Kluyveromyces lactis: one gene and its partners. The protein of the gene in region 7 purifies or fractionates together with the protein of the main gene of each other region. This does not show direct contact. Links are inferred from orthologs where the notes say so. Each region holds a gene or a part of one and is shown on either strand. Other genes may lie near its edges. The genes, in order: CBF5, DBP9, RSA3, ERB1, UTP20, DBP6 and MAK21.

Evidence for each region.
Region 1: the proteins of MAK21 (region 7) and CBF5 purify together in Saccharomyces cerevisiae (affinity purification with mass spectrometry; 3 studies listed by BioGRID). This does not show direct contact. The link is inferred for Kluyveromyces lactis from reciprocal best matches to the Saccharomyces cerevisiae genes MAK21 and CBF5.
Region 2: the proteins of MAK21 (region 7) and DBP9 purify together in Saccharomyces cerevisiae (affinity purification with mass spectrometry, with the first as the bait; 4 studies listed by BioGRID). This does not show direct contact. The link is inferred for Kluyveromyces lactis from reciprocal best matches to the Saccharomyces cerevisiae genes MAK21 and DBP9.
Region 3: the proteins of MAK21 (region 7) and RSA3 purify together in Saccharomyces cerevisiae (affinity purification with mass spectrometry; 4 studies listed by BioGRID, with this or other methods). This does not show direct contact. The link is inferred for Kluyveromyces lactis from reciprocal best matches to the Saccharomyces cerevisiae genes MAK21 and RSA3.
Region 4: the proteins of MAK21 (region 7) and ERB1 purify together in Saccharomyces cerevisiae (affinity purification with mass spectrometry, with the first as the bait; 5 studies listed by BioGRID). This does not show direct contact. The link is inferred for Kluyveromyces lactis from reciprocal best matches to the Saccharomyces cerevisiae genes MAK21 and ERB1.
Region 5: the proteins of MAK21 (region 7) and UTP20 purify together in Saccharomyces cerevisiae (affinity purification with mass spectrometry, with the first as the bait; 3 studies listed by BioGRID). This does not show direct contact. The link is inferred for Kluyveromyces lactis from reciprocal best matches to the Saccharomyces cerevisiae genes MAK21 and UTP20.
Region 6: the proteins of MAK21 (region 7) and DBP6 purify together in Saccharomyces cerevisiae (affinity purification with western blotting; 3 studies listed by BioGRID, with this or other methods). This does not show direct contact. The link is inferred for Kluyveromyces lactis from reciprocal best matches to the Saccharomyces cerevisiae genes MAK21 and DBP6.

What each region holds. Positions count from the first base shown.
Region 1 is NC_006040.1:408,122-411,229, reverse strand, and holds CBF5 (pseudouridine synthase CBF5), read right to left. Parts: upstream 1,926-3,108; coding exon 501-1,925; downstream 1-500. Other genes in the region: KLLA0_D04774g (uncharacterized protein), read right to left, coding at 2,384-3,108. UniProt on the Saccharomyces cerevisiae protein: Catalytic subunit of H/ACA small nucleolar ribonucleoprotein (H/ACA snoRNP) complex, which catalyzes pseudouridylation of rRNA. This involves the isomerization of uridine such that the ribose is subsequently attached to C5, instead of the normal N1.
Region 2 is NC_006039.1:416,717-420,136, forward strand, and holds DBP9 (ATP-dependent DNA/RNA helicase), read right to left. Parts: upstream 2,286-3,420; coding exon 501-2,285; downstream 1-500. Other genes in the region: PEX8 (Pex8p), read left to right, coding at 1-440; cleavage polyadenylation factor subunit YSH1, read right to left, coding at 2,875-3,420.
Region 3 is NC_006042.1:1,225,808-1,228,073, reverse strand, and holds RSA3 (Rsa3p), read right to left. Parts: upstream 1,113-2,266; coding exon 501-1,112; downstream 1-500. Other genes in the region: CCC1 (Ccc1p), read left to right, coding at 1-246; U3 snoRNA-associated protein UTP13, read right to left, coding at 1,452-2,266. UniProt on the Saccharomyces cerevisiae protein: Required for efficient biogenesis of the 60S ribosomal subunit.
Region 4 is NC_006042.1:2,460,601-2,464,675, forward strand, and holds ERB1 (ribosome biogenesis protein ERB1), read left to right. Parts: upstream 1-1,275; coding exon 1,276-3,651; downstream 3,652-4,075. Other genes in the region: KLLA0_F26587g (L-methionine (R)-S-oxide reductase), read left to right, coding at 1-72; CSM3 (Csm3p), read right to left, coding at 3,778-4,075.
Region 5 is NC_006041.1:1,547,840-1,551,863, reverse strand, and holds the start of UTP20 (Utp20p), read left to right. Parts: upstream 1-1,224; coding exon 1,225-4,024. Other genes in the region: KLLA0_E17447g (resistance to Congo red protein), read right to left, coding at 1-243. UniProt on the Saccharomyces cerevisiae protein: Involved in nucleolar processing of pre-18S ribosomal RNA and ribosome assembly.
Region 6 is NC_006042.1:665,470-669,202, forward strand, and holds DBP6 (putative ATP-dependent RNA helicase DBP6), read right to left. Parts: upstream 2,394-3,733; coding exon 501-2,393; downstream 1-500. Other genes in the region: SRB8 (Srb8p), read right to left, coding at 1-169; RSM19 (mitochondrial 37S ribosomal protein uS19m), read left to right, coding at 2,661-2,936; type 2C protein phosphatase PTC6, read right to left, coding at 3,232-3,733. UniProt on the Saccharomyces cerevisiae protein: ATP-binding RNA helicase involved in the biogenesis of 60S ribosomal subunits and is required for the normal formation of 25S and 5.8S rRNAs.
Region 7 is NC_006041.1:1,108,069-1,112,278, forward strand, and holds the start of MAK21 (RNA-binding ribosome biosynthesis protein MAK21), read right to left. Parts: upstream 2,801-4,210; coding exon 1-2,800.

The DNA of each region.
Region 1 (3,108 bases), on a different chromosome or scaffold from region 7:
ATGATTGTTAATACTGGTAAAGTAAGAAACGGGACGTTTCATTGTGACACCTCGACTTCTGTTCACAATGTAACCATTTGCATAGATTTTAACCTTCATTTACCTTTTTATTGAGCAAATGACATCATGCAAATAAAAGACATACCAATCTGCAAGTTTCCCGACTTCTATTTGGTTCCGAACAATTGATGTCTGCCAAAAAAAAAAAAACTCCAAGTATTATTATCAAATCTTCTATCTACCTCATACATTTACCATTACTTTTTGCCATTACTTCAATTGAAGACGTAATGGTGTCTTCACACGCGCATAAATAATTTACAAATTTATATATACGAATACAATGATATACAACATCGACACAGGGTACAAAAAACAGTCGTGACGAAATACGTTTTTCAATGATTAAAAATATTCTACAGTGTACATAACCTAAATGATAAACTCTATGCAGTTTTGAAATTTCGATCGATGATATGAAGGACTTAGATTGTAGTCGTTTATTTCTTTGACTTCTTCTTCTTCTTCTCGGAAGACTCATCATCGTCAGCCTTTCTCTTCTTCTCCTTCTTCTCCTTCTTTTCCTTTTTCTCCTTCTTGTCCTTCTTCTCCTTCTTTTCCTTCTTGTCCTTCTTTTCTTCTGGTGTCTTTGATTCTTCCTTTGATTCTTCCTTCTGTTCGACTTCCTTCTTTTCTACTTCTTTGATCAGTGGTTTTTCTTCTGATTTGGATGCAGGGGCGGTAGTTGGTTCAGCATTCTCCAATGAAACGTAAGTCTTCTTCCAGGTCTCTGGAGTATTTTCGTTGGCACGGCCATATTTGTCTAGCTTACCGTCAGCCTTCATTTGTTTTTTCTTTTGGGCAATTGGACCAAGACCCCATCTTCTTGGATATAGGTCTCTTTCCATGATACATCTCTTAACCTTGGCAACAACTCCGTGGTCACAAGTAGCTAAATCGACAGTAGACATTTGAGCAATGGCAACTGCAATGGCCTCACCCTTGGTGGTGATTAATACAACTTCGTCATATAATTCAATACCTTCCTCATAACGAAGTAGACCTGGAATCATCAACTTGGCACCGTAACAAACAGCGTTAACAGCAGAATCTTTGACAACAATTCTTTTGTAACCGACTAATAGAGTTTCTAATGGTTGAATGATCTTTCTTAGGTAGGATTCATCCCTGGTGTTATCGTATACCCATTGTGCATCCATAACATCATGTAGGGTGACCAAGTTATCGTTTTCGGACAAAGCACCGGATCTAACACGACGCAACTCTTGCATATGGCCACCGACACCTAAAAGCATACCAAGATGGACACATAAAGTTCTCATATAAGTACCAGCTTCACAGGAAGCCCAGAAAACACCCAAGTTCCTCTTGTTGTCAAATTCGATCAAGTTGGAGTCATAAATGGTACGGACACGTAATTGACGCTTAACAGCAGAAATTAAAGGAGGTCTTTGGAACAAAGCACCAGTCAAATTTTCTAAACCTCTGCCCAATTCCTTCTCGTCCTTAAGGGCATCGTGCAATCTAACGATACAAACATACTCTTTACCAGCACCTTGTTGAGACTTGACCAATCTGGTAGCTCTGTCAACACAGACGATCAAACAACCAGTGACTTTAGGATCTAAAGTACCAGAATGACCTGTTTTTTCGCAACGCAAGATACGCTTGATCCAAGCAACAACTTCGTGAGAAGATGGGTTTGAAGGTTTGTCCAAATTGATGACACCAGAACTGATATATGACTTCAAATCTCTCTTCAAAGGAGAGGCACCAGCTGGAATTGGTGTGTAATGACCACTTCTGACTAATAGTTTGTCATAGTCCTTCAACAATAAAGGCCACTCACTAGTGTTACTAGATGGTGAAACACTCTCTGGCTTAATAACAAATTCGTCAGACATCGATCTCTATCTTACTTATTAGCTTTCTAACGAACAATCCAGTACACTATCTCCTTCAAATATCGAGAGAAAACAATAAAAGGATAGTAGCAACAATATCGTAAAGCAGAATCTACACTAAAGTGACAGTTTTTAGTCCAGTAAGATGAATCTACTTCTAATAGAACTCTATACTTTTCTTGTTAAAGCTCATCTCATCTCATCGTCTTCATCAAATTTTTTTCTTCAGGTAGAAAATTTTCAGATATCTCAAAAAGCAATTATTTCCGGGTAATGAATTATATTCACCTTGACGTTTAAGTATATATGACAGACATTGGAAATAGCATTGCCAAGTGAGAGTAGTTTTTATAGCCTTCTAGGAAGTGAGTTTGCATTTTTATTTAATGGACTAAACTAGCTGCTAATATGTTCATTATGTTAGGTTAAATTCTGTTAACTTAGTACGCTGTTTTCATTCAGATAGATTCCAAGTACTTGGCGTTATAGTTGTTCTTCAAAGCGCTAGCCCAGTTCCTAGTGGATAACTGTGCGATATTTGAAGTTGAATAATCTGTCTCAATTCCAGTTGAAAATATGGAATCTTCTTTGTCTGGCGATAGCTCTGATGTGTTTTGGTTTTGCTTCCACTCTCGGAGCTTTTGTATAATTTGTTTAGCGTTGTGTTTCGACCTTGAGGAACAGTTGCTATTCACATTGGCTACTTTAAGCTCACGGAGTGAATCATTAAAACCTTGTTTTTGTTCTGATATGTAGTGTAACTCTTCGTTTCTATTGTCTTTATTTTCTATGCCATCACTAACACTTGTAATGGTGATCGCAGGTTTGTATTCTGGTTTGGGCTTGTTGGAGACCATATTGTCTCTGATATTTTGGAACATATCTCTTTTCTTCATAAAATAATTCAAAGTCCGGTTTGTAGACCCGAATCTATCCACATTATTGCTGTATATGGCACTAAGCGCAGATTCTGCTTTAAGAGTAACTTTTAAGGCACTACTTAAAGTTTTCTCGTAATTAGTCCTGTAGCTTTGTAGTTCATTATGATACATGTCAGCATTTTTATCTATTTCACGTTTCATCGCTAACAACCTTTTTTGAAACTTCTCATTGAAAAATGCAAGGTCTTCCTTCTTCTTTTTGATAACCTCGTCATGTTTTGACTTTAAAACTATGTTTTCAT
Region 2 (3,420 bases), on a different chromosome or scaffold from region 7:
CAGATGTCACAAACTTTAAACTCAAAAGATTGAGGCTATACTTACATGATTGTTTCAGACAATGCAGTGCATCTTTAATGACAGAAAAACAATTAATTGTAATTTGGAAAAGCATACTTCCAACTATAAGATATCTTTCTAATTATGACAATGACTTAATCCGGGATCTAATTCATTCGACCTATATTAGAATAATCAACACTGAAAATTTACAAATGAAATCCACTAGCATACAATGTCTCATAGAACAATTCCACAATGTGCCTGATGAATACTTATGGGATTGGTTAGATGCATGTAACGAATTAGCCCGAACTCTTCCGCCTCTAATGAAAGAACATATCATTACTAAATTATGGGAGTATATATCACATTCTCACAATGAACTAGCAATTAGATGGTGGTATGATAGGATAGTTCCAAATTTATCAAGAATTTGATCTATACTTATATATTCCTAGTGCTAATGTTAAATAGGCTGGTCGTAATTAATTGAATATCTATTTGAAGCTTTTCAAAGGATCAGATTTACCCTTTCTTTGGACATTCCCCTTCTTCTTAACCACTCTTCCGTTCTTTCTATGCGAATTTTTGTGGAATGGAACGAAACCGATCTTCTTATTATCTTTCCTAGCAGTTTCTGGTAAAAGATAGTCCGGAACTCTTTTTAAATGCTGTTGTACACGAGCAGGATGTAACTCCTTGTCATGTCTCAAACTCTCTAAGTCATGAGGATTCTCTTCAAAATGTCTCTTTAGTTTCTCACTTGCCAAAAGTTCCTGTTTTAACTCCTTTATCCTTGCCTCTCTAATAGCAACCTGAGTTACTGCACGGAAACCGTCTTCCATTCTATAACGGAAACCTTCGACCTGTTTGATATCAAAGTTGTAAGGCTGTAGTTCAAAGCCTAATTTAGCCTGTTGTTTTATAATTCTGCCTAGTATCTTTTCATCCTTCTTAGCACTCTTGATCATAGATGGTTTATGCTTCCCGAATTCCTTCAAAGGAACAACAAAAGAAATAGAAATTCCTGACTTCCCTGCACGAGCTGTTCTACCAATTCTATGTACATACGATTTTGCAGTGGTTGGTAGATCAAAGTTTAATACACAGGCAACATTTTTGAAGTCCACACCGCGAGATACACCATATTCTTTGTCTTTCTCCACGTTTAGCTTTGGCTTCTTTTGTTTCTTTGCATTGTCTTTCGTAGTAACAGTGGAATCATCGACAACCTCAACTAAACCATCCTCAGTTTTTTCTGATTCTAAGTCTTCGTCTTCTTCTTTGATATATTCAGTATCGTCTGTAGCTATTAACAGTTGATAAACGTTCTTGTTGAATTCTTCTACGATATGCTGTCTTGAATTTGCTGGCAGTTCACTGTTCAAAATGCAAGATTTAATACCAAACTGTTCTAAAACTAGCTTTAGTCTGTATCCTCTATCGATATTGTTAACGAAGATTAATGTCTTACCCTTAATTAGTCCCAGTTTGAAAATCACATAACACAATAGGAACTTATCAAATTCTCCAACCTTCACATAATATTGAATAAGCTTTGTTTGATCTTTGTTGACTTCGTCGTCATTAAGTTTCAAAATCGCTGGTGAACGGCAGAATTGCTGCTTCAAGTGTTGGATATCGTCATTTAGAGTGGCACTCATCAAGAAAGTTTGTAAACTCTTTCTCAATGGTAAGCGTTCTGAAATCTTCGTAAGGTCCTCTTGGTATCCGAAAGTTAACACCAAATCAACTTCATCGATAACCAAGAACTTCAACCTGTCAATATTAACATCTTGCGCATCTAGTAAATCTACTAACTTGGCCGGCGTAGCTATCAATATTTCTGGATTTTCGGTAAGTAAAGATTTCAATAAGTTTCCCGATACATTACCCGATGAAAGATTTAAGCATTTAATTTCTTGAGAACAGAAAACAATGAGCTTTTCAACAACTTCTAAAACTTGCTGAGCCAATTCTCTAGTTGGGACCAATATTACCCCTAGAGTGGCACCTTCATCATTCTGATCTGCCTTCTTATGATCTAAAATTGTTTGAATCACTGGTATCAAATATGCTAAAGTTTTACCAGAGCCGGTACTAGCTTTCGCTATGATATCCCTTTTCTCTTGAAGAGCTAATGGTATCGCACTGGATTGGATCAAAGTAGGGTGTTTGAAGCCGATACTGCGGATGGCTTGTGATAAACGTGAATCCAAGTGGAACGAATCGAAAGAAGAAGAATCATCAATGTATCCCTGGGAAGCGCTTGTTTGAGCCATATTGAAGCGTTTTTCTGGACTCTAGCTCTCGTCGAACACTTTAACTATAACCTCGGTTGTAAGTTTCGATCAAAAGGTTAATGCTGCTGATAGTTGAGACCCATTTAGCCTGTTTTACAGCTCTTGTACGTTCAGACTCTGGATGAGATGAGATGAGCTTCCCAAAAATTTTCTTGAGGTGCAAAAAGAAACTACACAGGCAAAAGGATTTATGAGTCACGTGATTGAGTTATCTTGTCTCTTCTGGATTGGCAATGTGAATGAAATACCTCACTGTAGCTCTGATTTTGCCATGGTATTGGTAGATTGATTTAAAATTTACTGTTATAATGAGAATATATATATATATATCGCGTTTAGTAGTTTAGTAAATGGTTTTTTGTCCTCTTGGTGTCTTTTGTAACTTGTCGAAAACGATATGTTCATTCAGTTAATTGAAACTTGAATGCATCTTTAAAGTTTTAATAGATTATTTAGTACAGAGGAACACCTTGGCAAGATGGCAGTATAGGGTTGAAAAGTATATAGTTAATGCAAAAAGATGATTAATGACTAGCTCATATATAATCATATCTATATATGAGACAGATTAACACAATGGGGCCACCAAGTCGGAGCCAATTTTTAATAAACTCTCTATTCTACCTTTCAATGGATTAGAGTTACATTCTTCCACAACCATTTTTGAGAAGTTTATACATGCTGTTGTTTTTCCTAAGTTGATAGTGCCTTTTATTTCTTCTTTGGAGTCTTCCTCATTCAAAAATAATGTAAAAGTATCACCAAACTGTTCCTTGAAAACTCTCGATATGTTCTTAATTTTAGTCGTGTGATCATCGTGTCCATGATGATGTCCACATGACTTCGAACTCATTTTGATACTTGCTGGAGCGCTCTCGACACTCAGTAGAATTGCCATGACACTATCCGCGACTGAATCACTGATAACATTCTGAGTCCATTGCAATGTAGCTACATTGTCAACTATATTTAATATTACATCTCCCATGATTTTTATTTCTAGTTCACCCTTCTTTATCTTCCTCGTCTTGAATTCGGGATTGATGTTCTTCAATGAGACGTTTTCTTCGTCAATGTATACATCTACGTCACCAAACATTTGGCAGATATGCCA
Region 3 (2,266 bases), on a different chromosome or scaffold from region 7:
GGAGGATACTTTGCCGGTGGGTTCGTCCCGTTAATACCATATTTCTTTGTTGAAACGGTGGGAACCGGTCTCCTGATCTCTATTGCATTAATGACTTTCACGTTGTTCTGGTTCGGATATTTCAAATCCCAAGTCTCAATGAACGATTGTACCCTGCAGAAAAAGTTACTGGAAGGCTTACAAATGATAGCAGTCGGTGGGACTGCTGCAGGTGCAGCTTGGTTCTTCGTTAAGGTCATCGAATGAGAGTCACAAATAAAACAAAATTAATTAATCATAATCATCCTCATCATCTCTTATTTATTTTACTTCTTCTTTTAAGCGTTCCCTAGTATCACGTACTTTTTTTTTTATCATTCCAATACGTATTCATATCTTACTCCAAATCATCAATTTGCCGTCCAGACTTTATTTGATTCATTCTAGCTGTATCGTGATAGATGGTTTGTATTTTTATTTTATTATACATGTGTTTTTAAAATGCTAGATAGATCCAAACACTATTTATCCTCTACTATTGTCTTCAAGGTCTCCAAATCAAACATATCTCCTCCGTCTTTTAGAACATTCGCTAGCATGACAAGGGTCTTCGAAGTGAAATCTGGTGCGTTTCTCAATTCGTTCATGTCATCACCATAACTCTCAAATAGCATACTCAAATATTGATTCTTTAATCCGTTCTTGTCCTTATTATTCTCTAGCAATTTATTGCTGCTTTCATCTAACGTAGCAGACATCTTATTCAAATCGATATTCCCTAGATGAATGCCATTGTTGCCAGTTAAATCGCTTGTTGTTAGTCCCACTTTATTTAATTTGTCCACAGTCTCCGAGGACAAGACGCTTCCCTCTTTTCGGCTGGCTTTTTTATCGTCCAATGCAGCTTCATCTTCTTCTTTATCCATGTCAATATCTGAAAGCGTTACATCTTCAACATCAGATGCAGCTTTCTCCACAGTTTCGAGCTTAGTATCATTATCTTCTACCGATGAATTTTCAGAATCGGAGCTGGAATCAGAACTTGAGTCGGACACGTCTTGCGTTCTTCTCTTCTTTCTTCTGTTCTTCCTCTTGTTCGTCTTGCTAATAGCTGCAATATGTCCCTCTGACATGATAGTTTCCGATAGAGCTTCTCGTTAATATGGAGGAGAGTTAACTTTAAAGTATAACTGTCAAAAATTCACAGTTGAAGTCACCTTTTAACAGAAGAAGGATGAGAGCCGATCTCATCTCATCTCATCTCATCGCTTCACATCGTCTAGTTATTTGATGAAGTTTCTTTTGCAGGGAAACAAATTCTGTCTAAAACTCAAAGCCGGGTAACAAACTTATTATTCTACTGATGGATGGCCCTTGACTGGATATGGTATCTATTCAGAGTTGATGCGGTGGGTGTGTTGTACTGTTATATGTATATATCTACATGACGACTAGTGCTATATTTACATTCTTTATAGCAATTTGTCCATTTGAACTAAAGCGTAATCTAAGATATAACTTTCTTGAACCAAGTTATCCATTCTTGAGTAATGTCTCTCTGCGTATGAGATTATTGATTCAACGATCCTTACAAGCCCAGGAATTTCGCTCAACTCTTCAATATTTTGTCTTAGAAGAATACACCTTATCATCTTTTGGGCTACTGTGTGTGTTCTTGCATTTGTATTCCAATCTCTGCACCTTTTCACTAAAAGAAGAAGTTGATCTTTATCTAGAGTCGACACAACCTCGTCAATTTCGTTGTTGAAAACTACATTTGGATCCTCATTTGAGTTGTCTACACTTTGTCTTAAGACGTTGTACAATCTCATTGGGTGATCCAAGGTCATGGCAAGCAAAAATGCGTTAGTCCAGTCACCTTCTGAGAGATAATTTTGTAATGATTGTTCTTGTTCAATCTTCAGTTTCTCTTGCTCGAGGTTACGTTCGTGTTCCTCTTCACTGTTATCCCTCCAGAACTCAAAGAAGCCGTCAGCATCTGCTGTAACGAAGGATTCACCATCGTTCATAACAGCAAGAGCCCAGATACGGTTATTGTGAGCATCTAGTGTCTTGACCGATTCACCAGTTGATAGATCCCAAATAATAACTAAACCATCAGCACCAGTACTTATCAGTTGCTTGTTCTTGTTTATGAAGGAACATCTTTGAACTGCATTGGTATGTCCTTCCAAAGTTTTTACGACGGCATATGATTCTAAGGACCAAATTTTGATGGTCTTGTCACCGGAACATGTGGCCAATAACTTGTCATATTGACAGAATG
Region 4 (4,075 bases), on a different chromosome or scaffold from region 7:
GGGTTTACTAAGCTTGACCAAGAATTTCTAGAAAAATTGGCCGCTTCAGTTTCAAAGACATGCGTATTCTAACTCATTAAGTAGTTACACTCGTTAATTATATTCTCTCAATTGATATCACAACTCTTGACCGTATATGAAGTTGCCTGTTATTGCATACCTAACATAGGGCATGCTGCCCCAGGTCCAGTGGAACAGAAGTTTTCTAGTTTTCAATGAAAAAAATGATTTCGCCCAGGATCGAACTGGGGACGTTCTGCGTGTTAAGCAGATGCCATAACCGACTAGACCACGAAACCATCTTGTGAGGTCTGTCGTAATATAGACTGAAGACAAGCCAGACGAGAGGTCATGTGAGCTAGCCAGCACACGGCAGAGTTCCAAGACGTCAGTGACTGGGCATATGGATCCTGTGGTATCCAGAAGGGATGGCCTAGATGGATCATAGACGGTCACGTGATGGTCTTGAGTGCGCGTGGAGGACGGTAGCTGCAGAGGACCTACAAGGGCATGGAGGCAATGAGTTGCCATGACGAAGTCTGACGACCATCCGAGTATATAAGTCGAGTATAAAAGGCTGAGCTATGTTGCGACCTCTTGGGGAGGTTGGACGCATATACTCAACGATCTAACTAAATAGATTATTATATTATATTCGTTATATTGTTTGATATCAACGATCCCTCATCAGGCGATTAATCAATCAACTATCATCCAAGGCATATCACAACAAGATCTGAGAGAACTACATGAGTATATGTTACATCGTTAAGAGTTTCTGAAGAAACGAAATAGGTCTCTCTTATCAGCGCCCCAAATTGGAATAATGAAGTTTACTGGAAATAGCTTCTTCAATGATGAAATTACAAACTTGAAAACGATGTTGCATCTACTAGAATAAAACTAAGATAACTGTCTATGATGCAAAAAAAATAAGAGTTAAGAATTACATTCATTGTAGGCTAGCGACCAAAGTAAATATCTTCAACGTAAGTAGAAGTATATGTGGAGTTGATTGAATACCAGTTCCCTATCTTTGCTGAAGGGTACTTTGACTTTTTCAAAATAGCATTCTTGTTCAAAACTTTGTAGAAGTAATTAATGTATCGTAATTTTCTTTCTTTTTGTTTCTTAAAATTTTCAATTTTCATCTTGAGAGATGAGATGAGATGAGCTGAAGTGAATAGACCACAGAGATAACCAGTACTTCTCAAAGTTAACGGCATCAGAAGAAGCTCTGAAAGTATAGAGAGCCAGAAAACAATACCAGAAACTATGGCCAGAAAGAATTCTTCTTTGAATGGTTCTGAATCAGCGGAGCTTGTTGTAAAAAAGAGAGTTCTCGAGGAATCTGAATTGTCCGATTCTGAAGATGAAAGAATTGAAGTTGATGGTTTAATCGATGAAGAGGCTAGCGAAAATGAAGCTGAGGAAGCTGAAGATGACGACTCTGATGCTGAATTCAATCGCTTATTAGCTGAAGAAGAAAATGGACAGGAGGAGGAGTATAATACTTCAGATTTTTCTGAAGAAGGCGATGCTTTTTCCATTACCGACAAATTGTCAAATGTAAAGTTAACAGTGATTCCAGAAACAAGCGATGAAGGCATTGTTCGTACCAAGTATTCAGATGGAAGACCAAGAATTCTTAAGTCAGAAATTAATCCTGTTTATGATAGTGATGATAGTGATGCAGAAGCTAAGAACACAATTGGTAACATCCCACTATCTGCATATGATGAAATGCCACATATTGGTTATGACATTAATGGTAAGAGAATAATGAGACCAGCCAAAGGATCTGCTTTAGATCAATTATTGGAATCTATAGAATTGCCAGAGGGTTGGACAGGTTTACTAGACAAAGACAGCGGTGCCTCTTTGAATTTGACCGAAGAAGAACTTGAATTAATCAATAAGTTGCAAAATAATCAACAGACGGACGAATCTGTGAATCCATACGAACCTTTAATCGACTGGTTCACTAGACACGAATCTGTAATGCCAGTTACGGCCGTCCCAGAACCGAAAAGACGTTTCGTTCCGTCAAAGCACGAAGCCAAGCGTGTGATGAAAATAGTCAAAGCAATCAGAGAAGGTAGAATTATCCCACCAAAGAAACTAAAGGAATTAAGAGAAAAAGAAGAACAAGACAGTCATAACTACGATCTCTGGGGAGATGCCGAAGAAATCTCTGAACATGTTATGAACTTGAGAGCCCCAAAATTGCCACCACCAACAAATGAGGAGTCTTACAACCCTCCGGAAGAGTATCTTTTGACCCCAGAGGAAATTGATGCATGGGAAAAGATGGAACCAAGTGAAAGAGAGAGAAATTTTGTGCCTCACAAATTCGCTGCATTAAGAAAAGTTCCAGGTTACTCTGAATCTGTCAGAGAAAGGTTTGAAAGATCATTAGATTTGTATTTAGCGCCTCGTGTTCGCAAAAATAAGTTGAACATTGATCCTGAATCTTTGATCCCAGAATTGCCCTCTACAAAAGATTTGAGACCATTTCCAATCCGTTGCTCTACCGTTTATGTCGGTCATAAAGGAAAAATTCGTACAATGTCCATTGATCCAACTGGATTATGGTTGGCTACTGGTTCCGATGATGGCACTGTCAGAGTATGGGAAATTCTTACAGGTAGAGAAGTTTACCAAGTCACAATACTTAATGCGGAAGAAAACAATGATGACCACATAGACGTTGTTGAATGGAATCCCGACAGTACTACCGGTATCCTTGCGGTTACTGCTGGCGAAAACATCTTCTTGCTTGTTCCACCAATTTTCGGCTTTGAAATTGAAAACACAGGTAAATCAAAGATTGAATACGGTTTTGGTTTCGATACTTTCGGAAACGTCAAAAAGAGTAATCTCAATGTGAATAGCGATGATGAGGATGACGGTGCTGAATCACATGCTGTCAAGAAACAGGTTGCTCAATGGAATAAACCAACCGAAAGGCAAGCTGCCAATGATATTTGTATCGTAATAACTTGTCGTAAATCAGTGAAAAAGCTTTCATGGCATAGAAAAGGTGATTACTTTGTCACTGTTCAACCAGACTCAGGTAATACATCAGTTTTGATTCATCAATTATCCAAGCATTTAACTCAATCGCCATTCAAAAAATCTAAGGGTATCATTATGGATGCAAAATTCCATCCATTCAAGCCACAGCTCTTGGTCTGTTCTCAAAGATACGTCAGAATTTATGACCTATCGCAACAAGTGCTAATCAAGAAACTTCTACCTGGTGCTCGTTGGTTATCTACTATTGATATTCACCCAAGAGGTGATAACTTAATTGCATCCTCGTTTGACAAGAGAGTGTTGTGGCATGATCTTGACCTTGCAAGCACTCCATATAAGACCTTGAGATACCATGAGAAGGCTGTAAGAAGCGTAAGTTTCCACAAGAAACTACCACTGTTTTGCTCAGCTGCGGATGATGGTAACATCCATGTTTTCCATGCCACGGTCTATGACGATTTAATGAAGAACCCTATGATCGTCCCGTTGAAGAAACTAACCGGCCACAAGATTGTGAATAGTTTAGGTGTTCTAGATACTATATGGCATCCACGTGAAGCTTGGCTATTCTCTGCAGGTGCCGACAAAACCGCTCGTTTGTGGACTACCTGATAGAACCCTCATGACGGGATATTTGTAAAACACTGTATACTATGGACATCATTACCTATCAATATTACAAGTAGATACTTTCTAATTAGTGTTCAAGGGAATACATTATTATCTTTGGATCAGAGCTCAAAAGGTATCCATGTCTCTCATCATTGCCATTTCCTCATCTGATGCGATATCATTACCGTTATTTGTTGTGCTGGCAACGGTCGTAATTTTACTCAATTCGTCTAACTCTTCAGCGTTAGGCAGAGCGTAGCCATTTTGTGTATGTTGCCGTATGTTTGTATCAGTGGTGGACAACATTTCATTCGTGTGCCGCTGGTGATGCGAAGAATATAGAACATCATCATCATCATCATCATCATCATCATCGTCATAGTTGCCGTCATTATTCTGATTTTTGTCTTTGTCTAGGCTGATA
Region 5 (4,024 bases), about 440 kb from region 7:
CCATGACACGTATCGAAGTGGTTGTTGTCCGTTACGCCTTCTTATATAGTTTATTCTTATCGTAGTGATGACAAATGCCAGTAAGATGAACATGAATATAACGAATATTACCCACCGTGCCCATTCCCAGTGGGAGGAACACGAGAGACCCCAGCAGTTGTTATCAATATCAGCAGATGTAGTGGTAGCACTTTGAACAGCGCTGACAACACTGGATGGCGTAGATGTAGTTGTGGTTGACATAGCAGGCGAAGTAAGAGCAATATTAGAACCCGGAAAAGATATACTTCCCTTGTTTATTCAATTAGTAAGTTCAGGAGTCCTGCTCTTGGTGTTGGGTTAGCCCTCTTTGTTTTCCGATCCTTTTGATCGAAGGTCTTGTATATCAACAGACAAAAAAGGGGACGAGAAGCGACTTGTAACAAAAAATCCAGTGGGAAATCCTCCTTTCAGCGATAGCTTCGTGTGCAGGTTGGATTTCAAACTCCTATCGACTGCCCTCTGGAGTCCTGCTGGCATATCCTTGTTGCAGCAAGAGTAGCGAGGAAATCTGATCGCGAATCATGACAAATTTCATTTAAAAACGACTATTCCCCATATGCAAATATATATCAGTATATATAATATATCAAGAGACCGATGGAGAGAAATACTGGAAATTTAAGAGAAAGGATATACCTATTTTACCACGAATGTCCAGAAAATGTTGCAGAGCCTCAAATATAACCAAGTTGAGTTCCAAAATCAGCACTACTTCTGCGCTACATAATGTTTACCAATTTTTGTATAATGAGACGATGGAGTTTCTTATTAGTTGAAGTTCTATCATTACCTCGCGATTCTAGGTTGGATACTCTCAACTTATATATTGTAGCGGTTCTACTATTAGTACTCCCACAACTATCGTACCTTCCTGGCCCGTTAAAAACACCTCATAAATGATCAGTGCTGGCGGTCAGTCCTGTGGCCGTAGTCGTCCTCCAGATCGGCCCTGCGTAAAAAGAAACTGGATTTCTTCACGTTCCATTCTAGGTAAAGGGAAAATTTTCAGAATTTGGAAAAGCATGAAAACTCATCTCATCTCATCTCATCGCATAAACAACAAACACAAGAGGGTCTACACACAGTAACTGTCAATCACCAGTCATACAAGACCTGCTTCAGTACATTGATATAACATTGAGGACTAGTCTTGTTCTGTTTCCCATTTTAAAATAATCAACCATGGGTAAGCAAAAGACTACAACGAAATCTACCAAGAGGTATAGATACTCATCTTTCAAGGATAAGATTGATGATTTGAAGATTGAACCTGCTAGAAATTTGGATAGAAGGGTTCATGATGATGTAGAGACCTCCCATTTTCTATCCTCTTTTGAACACTGGAAGGATATCAATTTGAGTGGGAATTTCGGATCCTTTATGGATTCGGTAGAGAAATTGGTTCAAACTTTGCCTCAACTTTTGTACCATGAGGATGAAATCTTTGCGAATTTGGAGCAATATATAGATAAACACGATGAGAGATCTTTACAGCCGTTGTGTGATCTCTTGGCTCAGTTCTGTCATGATTTGGGACCTGATTTCATGAAATTTTATGAAAGGGCGGTTACATGTTTGATTAACTTATTGGAAGCTGCCACTGAATTTGAAAACTCAAACGTGTTCGAATGGGGGTTCAATTGTTTGGCATACATTTTCAAGTATTTGTCACGTAGTTTGACTCAGAATTTGACGCCCACTTTCGACCTCTTATTTCCGTTATTGTCACATAAGAAAGAATACCTCTCCAGATTCTCCGCTGAGGCTCTATCGTTTCTAATAAGGAAATCTCCACAGAAACATTTGGCCACTTTTGTCACATTTTCGTTCCAAAAATTGTGCTTGTTAAAGAATGATAATTTTTATGACGGTTTGCAAACTTTATTTGGTGAATCATTGAAGAGTACTTCCGAGGCATTGCATTCAAGATCAAATATAATATTCCAAACTCTTCTGCAAATCGCATTCGAGAAAAATTCAGACATAGTATGTGTCTCTTTACTTTGTGACATCATTCTAGATATCACTAGACACACTTCTGCGGAGAATATTCAGAGTTTATACGATTTGATCCTTGAATTCTTGGACGAGAATTTGAACGGATCTAGTGCTGCTGTTGGTAAAACGTTGAGAATGTTATCTACGCTATCGTTTGCCGAGAGTGGTAGAAAAGTACCAAGTTGGGAAAAGTTATCTGGTGTTCTACGTAAAGCCACTCAACATGATAGTCTAAATGAATCACATGCAGATCTAGTGTCGTTTACATTTGCCATCGTCTTACGTAATGCTGACGTTAAAACGCTAACTTCTCTGCATAAATACATGTTCGAACTCTACTTGACGAAATTCTCAGCTCATTTCATTGAATTCTTCAAGATTTCTATGGATATCGATAAGGGTAAAGTGCTTTCTTTCAACGGGTTGAAATACTTGCAGAAATACGTTAATAACTGCTGGGCAGATGGTGCTCAGAAGATTGCATTGTTCCTTTTAGAATCGGAATCTTCACAAGATTTGGACTTGGTAAATCATCTCTCTGCACCGGAATTCGCAACCCAGTTGTTGAAGGATATCAGCGATGCTAATGTAAACGATGAACAGGAAATTTTTTCTGTGTATTGGAAACTTATAATATTAAAGACATTGAAACAAGAGGATGAGGAAATCATTATGCATTTGCTAGAGAGGGTTTTCCAAAAGGATGTGTTATCGGATTTTGAAAAGGATTTTGTTGGTTTCCTACTTCAAGCATTAACATTTAAAATCACTTCATCTGAGTCGGTCATGGCTGCAAAATTATTGAATATTCTAGTTCCGAGAATTATAGAGCTACAGAACAGTAGATATTTTATTGAAGGTATTTCACATGTTTTATCATATTTGGAGGACGACACTGATATTTTGAAATCTTTATCAAAGATTTTACCCATATTAACAGATAATCTATTACTTCCGGACAAAACCATCCGTTACGAAACCCTTAAGTTTATAATATCTGTTCTAGAAAAGCAAGGCAACTCAGTTCCCCAATTATTTTATGATCTAAGGATTTTGGAAGAAATCCCTCTGGATCTTCATACAAGCCGTGACATTACTCTCAGAGTAAGGAAACTAGGTGCAGACTTTGCCAAGATGGAAGCTGAGGATTTATTGACTAATGTCTTTTTCAAACATATGTTTGGGCTTCTAACTGTCAGATTCTCTCCAATTTGGGAAGCTATCTATGAAATAATTCCAGAAGTTTACACCAAAAACCAATCCCTTGTGTGGAGTTTGGCTATGCGTTTCCTCACTGTTCTTGATGAAACAAAGGACGTCAAATATTATAGCATTTCCAATAACATTGACCTTCAAGAACCATTCTGGACCGTTAGTATCAATAGAATGAATGACTCCATCCTTGCTTCTGACAAAGTATTTAAAAAATACTCTGCTAGCGATTCAACTATATTGGATGTTTTGGAGGAAAGAAGGAATTCTATGGTATATCCATCATTGATTAGAAGTCAGATATTCAAAGTTTTATTGTCGATTCCTAGTTTGGCAGAGCGTCATTCAAGGGACATAGTTCCTTTTTTATTTAATGAAGAAGAATCTGAAGAAATTTTTATCACAGAAGATCAACCAAGTATGGATGTACTAATTCCAACAGCATCACAATGGACTGAAAGTGATAGAAACCTTTTATTAAAGCTCGTTGGCAAATTCAAAAATATCAAATCCATTTACAAATCAGAGGAAGTGCACGATAGGTTAATGGCACTTTTGAGCAGCAGAACTACAGAAGTTCAAAAATTAGCTTTAGATGCGTTGTTTTGTTACAAGGAATCTCATATAACCAAGTACAGAGAAAACTTGAAGAACTTATTGGATGACACTTTATTTAAAGATGAAATTACCAAGTTTTTAGCAACCGATGACACCAAAACTATCCAAAAGCAAGATGAAGAAGCTGTTATGGGTTATATTGTGAGAATTCTCT
Region 6 (3,733 bases), on a different chromosome or scaffold from region 7:
AGTTTACCCTAGAAGCAGTATAGTAGCCTTTTGCCACGAACTCTTTAAGTATCTTATCCTCCTCTTTGGTGTGAATCCACGGATCAAAATCAGGATAGATTTGTGGGTTGGAGTCGGTGAGCGGATGTAATTCCTCCGGAGGAGTTAGTAAATATTTTGACGGTGACATCAGAAGTATCTAGCGGTTATTCTCTGACTACTTATATGTGTTAACAAGCACTAGTTAAGACAGTTTAACCTGCCTAAGGTACTTTGAAGGTTTATAGTGTTTCAGTGATTCTGAACGATCAATCACATATCAATTTAAGGTAAAGAAAGTTCTAAAGTGGAGGAAAAACACTGCTCGAACAATAAATAACATGTCACATGATCAACTCATCAGAAGAGGCAAAATAGATAGTAAGTATAAGATCATTAGTGCCTTCTCAAATATCACTTAGACGAGCCCCAAGAATGGGGTACAGTTACTATGATCTTTTTACTTATTTAGTGATAATATGCTATTTACTGTCTGCTTCTTTGCTGGTTTGGAGTTGTTTGATACAACCCTTGTACGTATCCTTCAAAGTGTCTTCAATAGAGAATAATTCAGACAACTTTTCTTCGTCAAGGTAAGCAGATGGTTGATAACCATCAATGTCACGACTGAGGTCAGTGTCAATATGTTGTGACCAGAATTTCTGTTCACCCTTACCAACTAGAAGGTTAATTGCTATACCCTCAGTATTAGCCCTTGCAGTTCTACCACAACGATGAACATATTGTTGAGAGGAGATCGGTAGATCATAGTTTATCACATGAGTAATTTCATTTATATCGATACCTCTAGCCATTATGTCCGTTGAAATTAAAACTGATTTCTTTTGTTCTGAGGATGCAAATTCCTGTATTAGTTTTCTGCTACTACCCTTCGAGATGTTCGAATGAATTGATGAAAGGAACATATTATACTCATCTTCAATTATTCCTGATCCTAACATGGCATGTAATAAGCTTTCTAATCTGATCGAAGCTTCGTTACTCTTCACAAACACTAATATTTTAGCGTTTCTCGAAGCACTGCTCTTGATGTCGTGTATTATTCTTAGTAAGAGTAGTGGCTTGAACAGACTCTTAGCAGTAGGAATATTGACATTGAGTTCTTGCAATTTCTTAGGTATTGAATATAATTTAACAGAATCTGTGAGGAAGATCTTGGGGTTGTGGAGATACAAATTGTACAACTTTTCTGCATTCGTAGTCAAAGTAGCAGAAAAGACCATTTTGATTACGTTTCCTGGACGTTTATCCTGCTTATCGTTTGTCAAATGGTGGAAAAGCACTTGGTTCCAATTTTGGAATGACTGATTTAATAGTCGGTCTGCTTCATCAAGGACTAAGAACTTCAAAGTTTTTAGGTCAAATGATTCCATCTGCAAGTGATCGACCAGTCTGCCCGGAGTGATGATTAGAATGTCTGGAGAGTTATACAAAAATTTGTTGTGTTCTTCTTTCAAGGAGTTCTCGAGTTTCGACATTGATACATTGAGACTGGTCCCTTGACTTAGTTTAGAGAGACAATCGTAGACTTGATGAATTAAAATTTTAGTAGGAACCAAAATTATTGCCCTAACTTTATTCACTGTTCTAGATCTCAAAATTTGAACCAAAGGGACAGAATATGCTAAGGTCTTACCGGAACCAGTTGATGCGTTTACTAATATATCACCAACTCGTCTTGTGAAAAGTTTTCTGTTTGCTTTAAAAGATGAGTTTAGAAGCGGGAGCACTTTATCGAATAGAATGGTCTGAATAGGGAACGTTTCAGATGAGAAATTGGAGGTAATATTTTTAAGCAGACGTGCATCTAATTCACCTTCGTAGCTATCGAATTGTTTAACCATTTTACTATCGTAATGAATTTTGGTTGCTGCATCCCACGCAGTGGATTTATATGTAGACGGATCTAGAAGCTTCAAGGCTTCATTGGTCACTTTGGCCGGTTGAGGAATTGGGGTAAGACTGTGAACATCTTTCATGGATACGTCCTCATCGTGTACATCGTTGTCACTACTGACCTTGTCTGAAGCGCTCAACGCACCTTGCAGGGAAAGAGTCTGTTGAAATCTATTTAATACGGAACTGTGCTTTGCATCAACTGATTGCTGAGAAGTTTCTGTAGGCGCAACAGATGCAACCTTGTTTTCATCTTGCTCACTAATTGTATCGGAATCATCCTCACTGCTGGAAGCATCATCCTCACTGCTGGAAGCATCGTCCTCACCAGAGCCTTCATCATCAGTTTCCGCATCTCTTTTCCTCTTTTGGGGCACAGTGGGTTCTTTTATTTGTGTGACTTCAGCTGTTAGTACATTTTCAGTCACCTTAGTAGGATCAAACCTTGCAGCAAACATGTTATTGACTGGATGCTATCGTTATGCTGTCGCTATGCTGTTACTGACCTTCTAAATTCCTGAAGCTCATCGCATCATATTACATCTCATCGCCATTCGTCTATTATTTTATTTCAGAACGGAATTCATAAAAAATTTCAATCTGTAAAACTTGAAATAACGACAAGATATAATAGAGTTAAGTCACTACCATGATATCAGTCAGCCAAAGGTTCCAGCAGTTAGACAAATATCTCGCGTCTACGATAACACTCATAACGTCATAAAATGTTCCCGTCATTGAGATTACTATCACGTTCTGTATGGAAAGGTCCAAATATAGTCCCATTACCAATAAAAGAAGCATTGGCCAAAGGTACGCCCATTAGAACAAATGCCAGATCTGCCACCATATTACCTCAATTTGTCGGACTGAAATTCCAAGTGCATAATGGTAAGGAGTATGTCGCGTTTGAAGTGACAGAAGATATGGTAGGAAGTAAGCTAGGAGAATTCGTACCAACAAGAAAGAGATTCAGTTATACTCAAACTAAGAACAAATGATTTGACATTTATGAAAAGCACAAAGTTAGTCAGACAGCAGCATGTATATAAAATCACACCTGGAAGTTCATGTACCACCGTGTACTCCATACGTAACTGTATCTATTACTAAGAAATGATTTATTGAACAAGTGCTCTCGATTAATTGGGAGTTAATGGTGTTTCTCATTGTTAAATAGATGCAAATGTTAATCATAACGAGTACTATATATAATAATTGAAGTAAAATAGAATATACACTCTTTACTTGAGGTTTCTTTTGAATTTAATTTATGATTAAGTTTGTGGACTTTTTTCAACCACTAGATCTTTCTCCACCGGATACACCACTTAGTAGCTTTTCCTCTCTAATCGCACCAGTGCGATCAATGACAGGCCAATTTCCCCAGTTCGGTAACCGCAGAATTACGCAAGTAGCATTATCAGAATGTTTAGAGCTAATAGCCATAACATATTGTAAAACTTCCTGAGCACAGAAGTGTGGAGAAGCAGTTTTCAAACCTCTATTGTTCACTGTGGAGGTGATGAGATCACAGAGTTCTTGATCGCTCATCAATTCAGTTACTCCGTCTGTCACTAAACATAAGAAACATTCATCACCACCGAACTGCAATTTTGATCTTTCAGCATGTGGTAACATTTTGGTTGGTCCAATGAGGTACGAATAAATGTCCGGCTCGCACGTTAGACCATCACGTTTTCCGATCCGATCGCCAAAGGATCGTGTATTTGCAAAATTGTTCAAAAATCTAGTATCACCGAAGGAGTCAGTTTGGAATTGACCTCCAAGTCTTCTG
Region 7 (4,210 bases):
GATCGAAGTCACTGATGTCTTCTGGTTCACCTTCTTCAGCTTCAAGATCAGCTTCTGATGCCTCATCTTCGTCTCCCGAAGATGCAAGGTCTTTGAGATCAATATCGACATCTTCGGATGACGATCCGAAATCATCCTGTGAGAAATCGTCCTCACTGAACTCAACATCGCTGTCCTCTTCGTCACCTTCGACGTCAGGTCTTGACTTCACTAAAGCATCCCAAATTTCATCTTCGTCCAAATCGCTTTCCTCGTCGAATTCAGCTGTACCGTTTTCATCCTCTGCACCTGACTTGGTAGATTTGATGGCATTAGTCTTTGTAGAGAAATATTGATAGAAGAACTTTTCATCTGGCTTGATATCTTGCACCTTCTTACTTAACCAGTTCTCCGTGTTAGCAGGTACTTCGTGCAATGTGGTATCGCTGGCCTTCACTAATAACGAACCAGTGTGTACACCTCCCAAAGGTTGCATGATAGATGAACCTCTAGTGGTTGGCTTTTGCTTGGCGTTACGGTACACGAATCTATCCAAGAAATGGGCTAACGTGAATAGGCCAAGATCGGGTTTGACTAACTCTCTTGTTTCTTGAGTGTCACCGTCGAAGAACCCTTGTGCGTACGACTGCACAGTAGGATGGAAATGGGACAAGAATTGATTTATCTCCCAAAGCGATGAATTTTCAGCGTTGGCATATTTTGGATCACGTTTACGGCTATCGTAACCAGGTTTTTCCTTAGTTTTATCCCTGGAATCTTCGTCATCAGATTCGTAAACAGAGTCTAGTGGTGAGTTGATTAGAACATTTCTGATCTGCGGTAAACTCTTTGAAAGTTGTATCAACAAAAAGAACATACCACTAATGGCACCGATGTTCAACCAATGGGCACAGACTTGCAATATACGTTTTACGAAAGCATCCACTCTTCCAATGTCTTTATCATCTTTCAAAGATTTGTAAAGCAAGTTTAAGTAAATACCTTGCTTCGATGACGACACCAATCTTGGGTCGAGTAGGGATTCGTATAATGTCTTGTAATATCTATCACTTGTGATGTTTGTCTTCACGACAACCTGGTGAATCAATACTAATGCTTGAATTGAAGTGTTGAAATTAGACGCATGTGTTATCTTGAACAATGTATCAAGATGTATCTCGTACACGGATCCCGGCATATCAGAGAATGGGAAAGCACGATTCAAACCAGTTAGAATAGCACCGAATAATTTGGTATTTTTTTCCTCGATAACTTCTTGAGCACTTTTTTCTTCAATGACAGACTTACCACCCTTTTTACCCTTCTTGAAGTTCTTCTTTCTCTTCTTTTCATATGACTTATCGGATTCCTTGATTTCACTCTTTGATTCCTCGTTATCAGCATCAGTTTGGATTAAGAATTTCTCGAATAAAGTGAAATAGGTCTTGATTAGCTGATTTGCTAGATTCTTCTCGGAGCGTTTCAAAATTGTTTGATTAAGTGTCAATGCGGAATAGTATGTAGTATGATAGTCAGCTTGAGGCCTTATGGCAATATCGACAACAGCGTCTACCACAATTGATTTCATATTTGGATGTTGAGTTTCAAGTTTCAAAAGTTTGAAGGAAGCCTTTGACGCTACTTTGTTATCAATGTCACCTAATTTGTTAACACCAAGTTTCAACAAGTTGAATTCCTGTTCTGGTTTGGCTGTTAGCAGGTCAAAGATATGTGTTAGCACTTGCATTCTGACATAGATGATAGGATCATGGGATAATTTCTCAAAGATTTCCAAAATCTTGAAATATAGACCCTTCAAGTAATCCTCAAAATATAAAATAGCTAAAGTTCTCTTATTCAGTAGCATGGAAAGGTTTTGGTTCTTGAAGTATTTTAACTTGCGGTCAGGTAACAGACCATTTAAGAACAAATCCTTCAGAGCATTCAAAGCTTGTAATGCGGAATTTCTTGACTTCTTCCCGCAAAAGGATATCAAAGAATCAAGAGATTTGATATTATGCAATGGAGATTCCTGTAGCAATAAAGTCAAAGCACTAATTTTATCGTTCAACGTACCATCGCTTAAGATCTGGGACATAAACTTACGTTGAGATGAGTTCTTGGTAAATTCTTCGTAGTAATTAGTGTTATCTAATTCTAAGGCCTCTTTACCACGCTGGTATAACTTATCTATCTGTTCTTTCGTTAGCGGATCCTGTTCTCTTGTTAATTCAGGGTCCAAAGGAACTTCGTACCACAACAAATCTGATGGAACAAGTAATTTATCACTTTGAACAATATGAGTTTGAGTGATCATGTCGGATTGATCTTCCTTTTTTTTTTCTGCTGGTTTAGGACTAAGTGGTTCCTCCTCTTTCTCTACCGTCTCTTCTTCTTCTTCTTCTTCAACTTCTACCTCCTCCTCTTCAATATCTTTCTCTTCTTTGCCTGCATCCTCAGTAACTGTTGGTTCTTCTACAACTTCAGGTTCAGGTAGTTTATCGAATCCCATATTCTTCAATAAAGCACTGAAATCGCTCTTAAACTCGTCATCAACTTCTTCATCGGCTTCATTGAATTCAATCTCACTGGCATCGTCGTCAACACCATCAACAAGCTGGACATCTTTTTCAGAGGCTCCAAGAGACAGAGCTTCACGGATCAATTCTTCATTGGTGACAGCAGTTTCCTCTTTAGCTGGAGTAACGTCTGTCTCTTTTTCGCCCTGCTTCTTACTCTTCTTAGGCTTAGTGTCTTTGGCCTTTGAAGCTCCCAATTTGGAGGACACTTTCTCCTTCAATTTGGATAAATCAAGACTCATTCCAGATTTGCACTTGTTATCGAGTGTTGCTTCTTTCCAAGCAATAGATCAATCAAACGACAAACAGAGAAGTGGCCTCTGTGTATATCAACAAACACAGTCTGAGCGCATAATAAGAGTTGAGATGAGATGAGATGAGATGAGATGAGATGAGCTTGATTTTGGTGTAAAGGTAGAAAATTTTTGTCGTTTCTTTTCATCACGTGATTAACGATTATCCGGGTAATGAGTTTGTCTCTCTCGTTTAGTATTTACAAAAGCATTCTATGTAGTAGTGAGACCAAGAAGCGGGGAATCTGCTTGTCACATGGTTTGCCGAGAGCGTTACGAGCCAATGGACATGCTCAGGAGTAGGTAAAGCGTGAAAGTAAGTTGAATCAAAAGTTGCACAATGTATGTACTTCCCTCAAGTATCCGCCTCTCTGCATTGGAATTTCTTTACTGGAATCAATCCCAATTAAAGAATGTTTTTTGGGACCTCGCCATTACCCGCACAAACGACGTGCATGGTGGAAGCCAATGGTGCCATTAGTTGCCAATGGTGCATGCATCAATAAGCATTGACACACATACATATACATTCTTGGGGCAGAAATAGACGTGCATTTGCATGAATTGATTGGAAACTCATGGTTTCAGATGCACCAGCTCGAGGTGAACAAGGTAAGTTACGTATTGAGAACAACTCTTGGTAAAGGAATACTTCTACTATACTTCTTCTTCTTTTCATTGTGCATACAAGAGAAGAGGTTCAAGTCGAGTTGATTACCTCGAAATACAAGGTGTAGTTTTAGAGGGACATTAGGGTCATAGATACGAACCCATTGACCTGCCTAAAAATAACTCAAACTTGTACATTTCAAAAGTTGAATAAGACAAACGAGATTTTCTTTCTAAGTAGCGATAGCGAAGAATATCTATATATTCGTAAGACAATGACAATTGGTATCCTAATGAATGGACAAAGGAAACGTATAAAAAAATAACTGCAATGGCATTTGTCTTTGTGTTTTTTCTGATTTTCATCATCATTTCACTGAAATGAAAATAAAAATAGAGTGCTAATGGTAATAATGGCGTGATAAAAGTAATAAGATGATAAAGCTGATCCTTATGATATGGGAACAATGATGGCAATTGACGGGGAAGATAAAGCTTCTTAAGCTGTCCGTTCAAGCTAATTCTGGATTTTCCATCGAATGCTGTAGCGATGCTATGATGTTTTGTGACGTTTCTTTGCCTTTTTCTATTACAGAGTCATAAATCCAATATAGGTAGATGACGACAAACACACACCGGGGAAAGGAGTGAAAGGATGGATGGTGTGTGAACGAGAGACCGAGCATACGATGCCATGAAAAATTGAAGAGTTACTTCGAATCTCATGCTGCTTTTTTCTATCATTAGAAC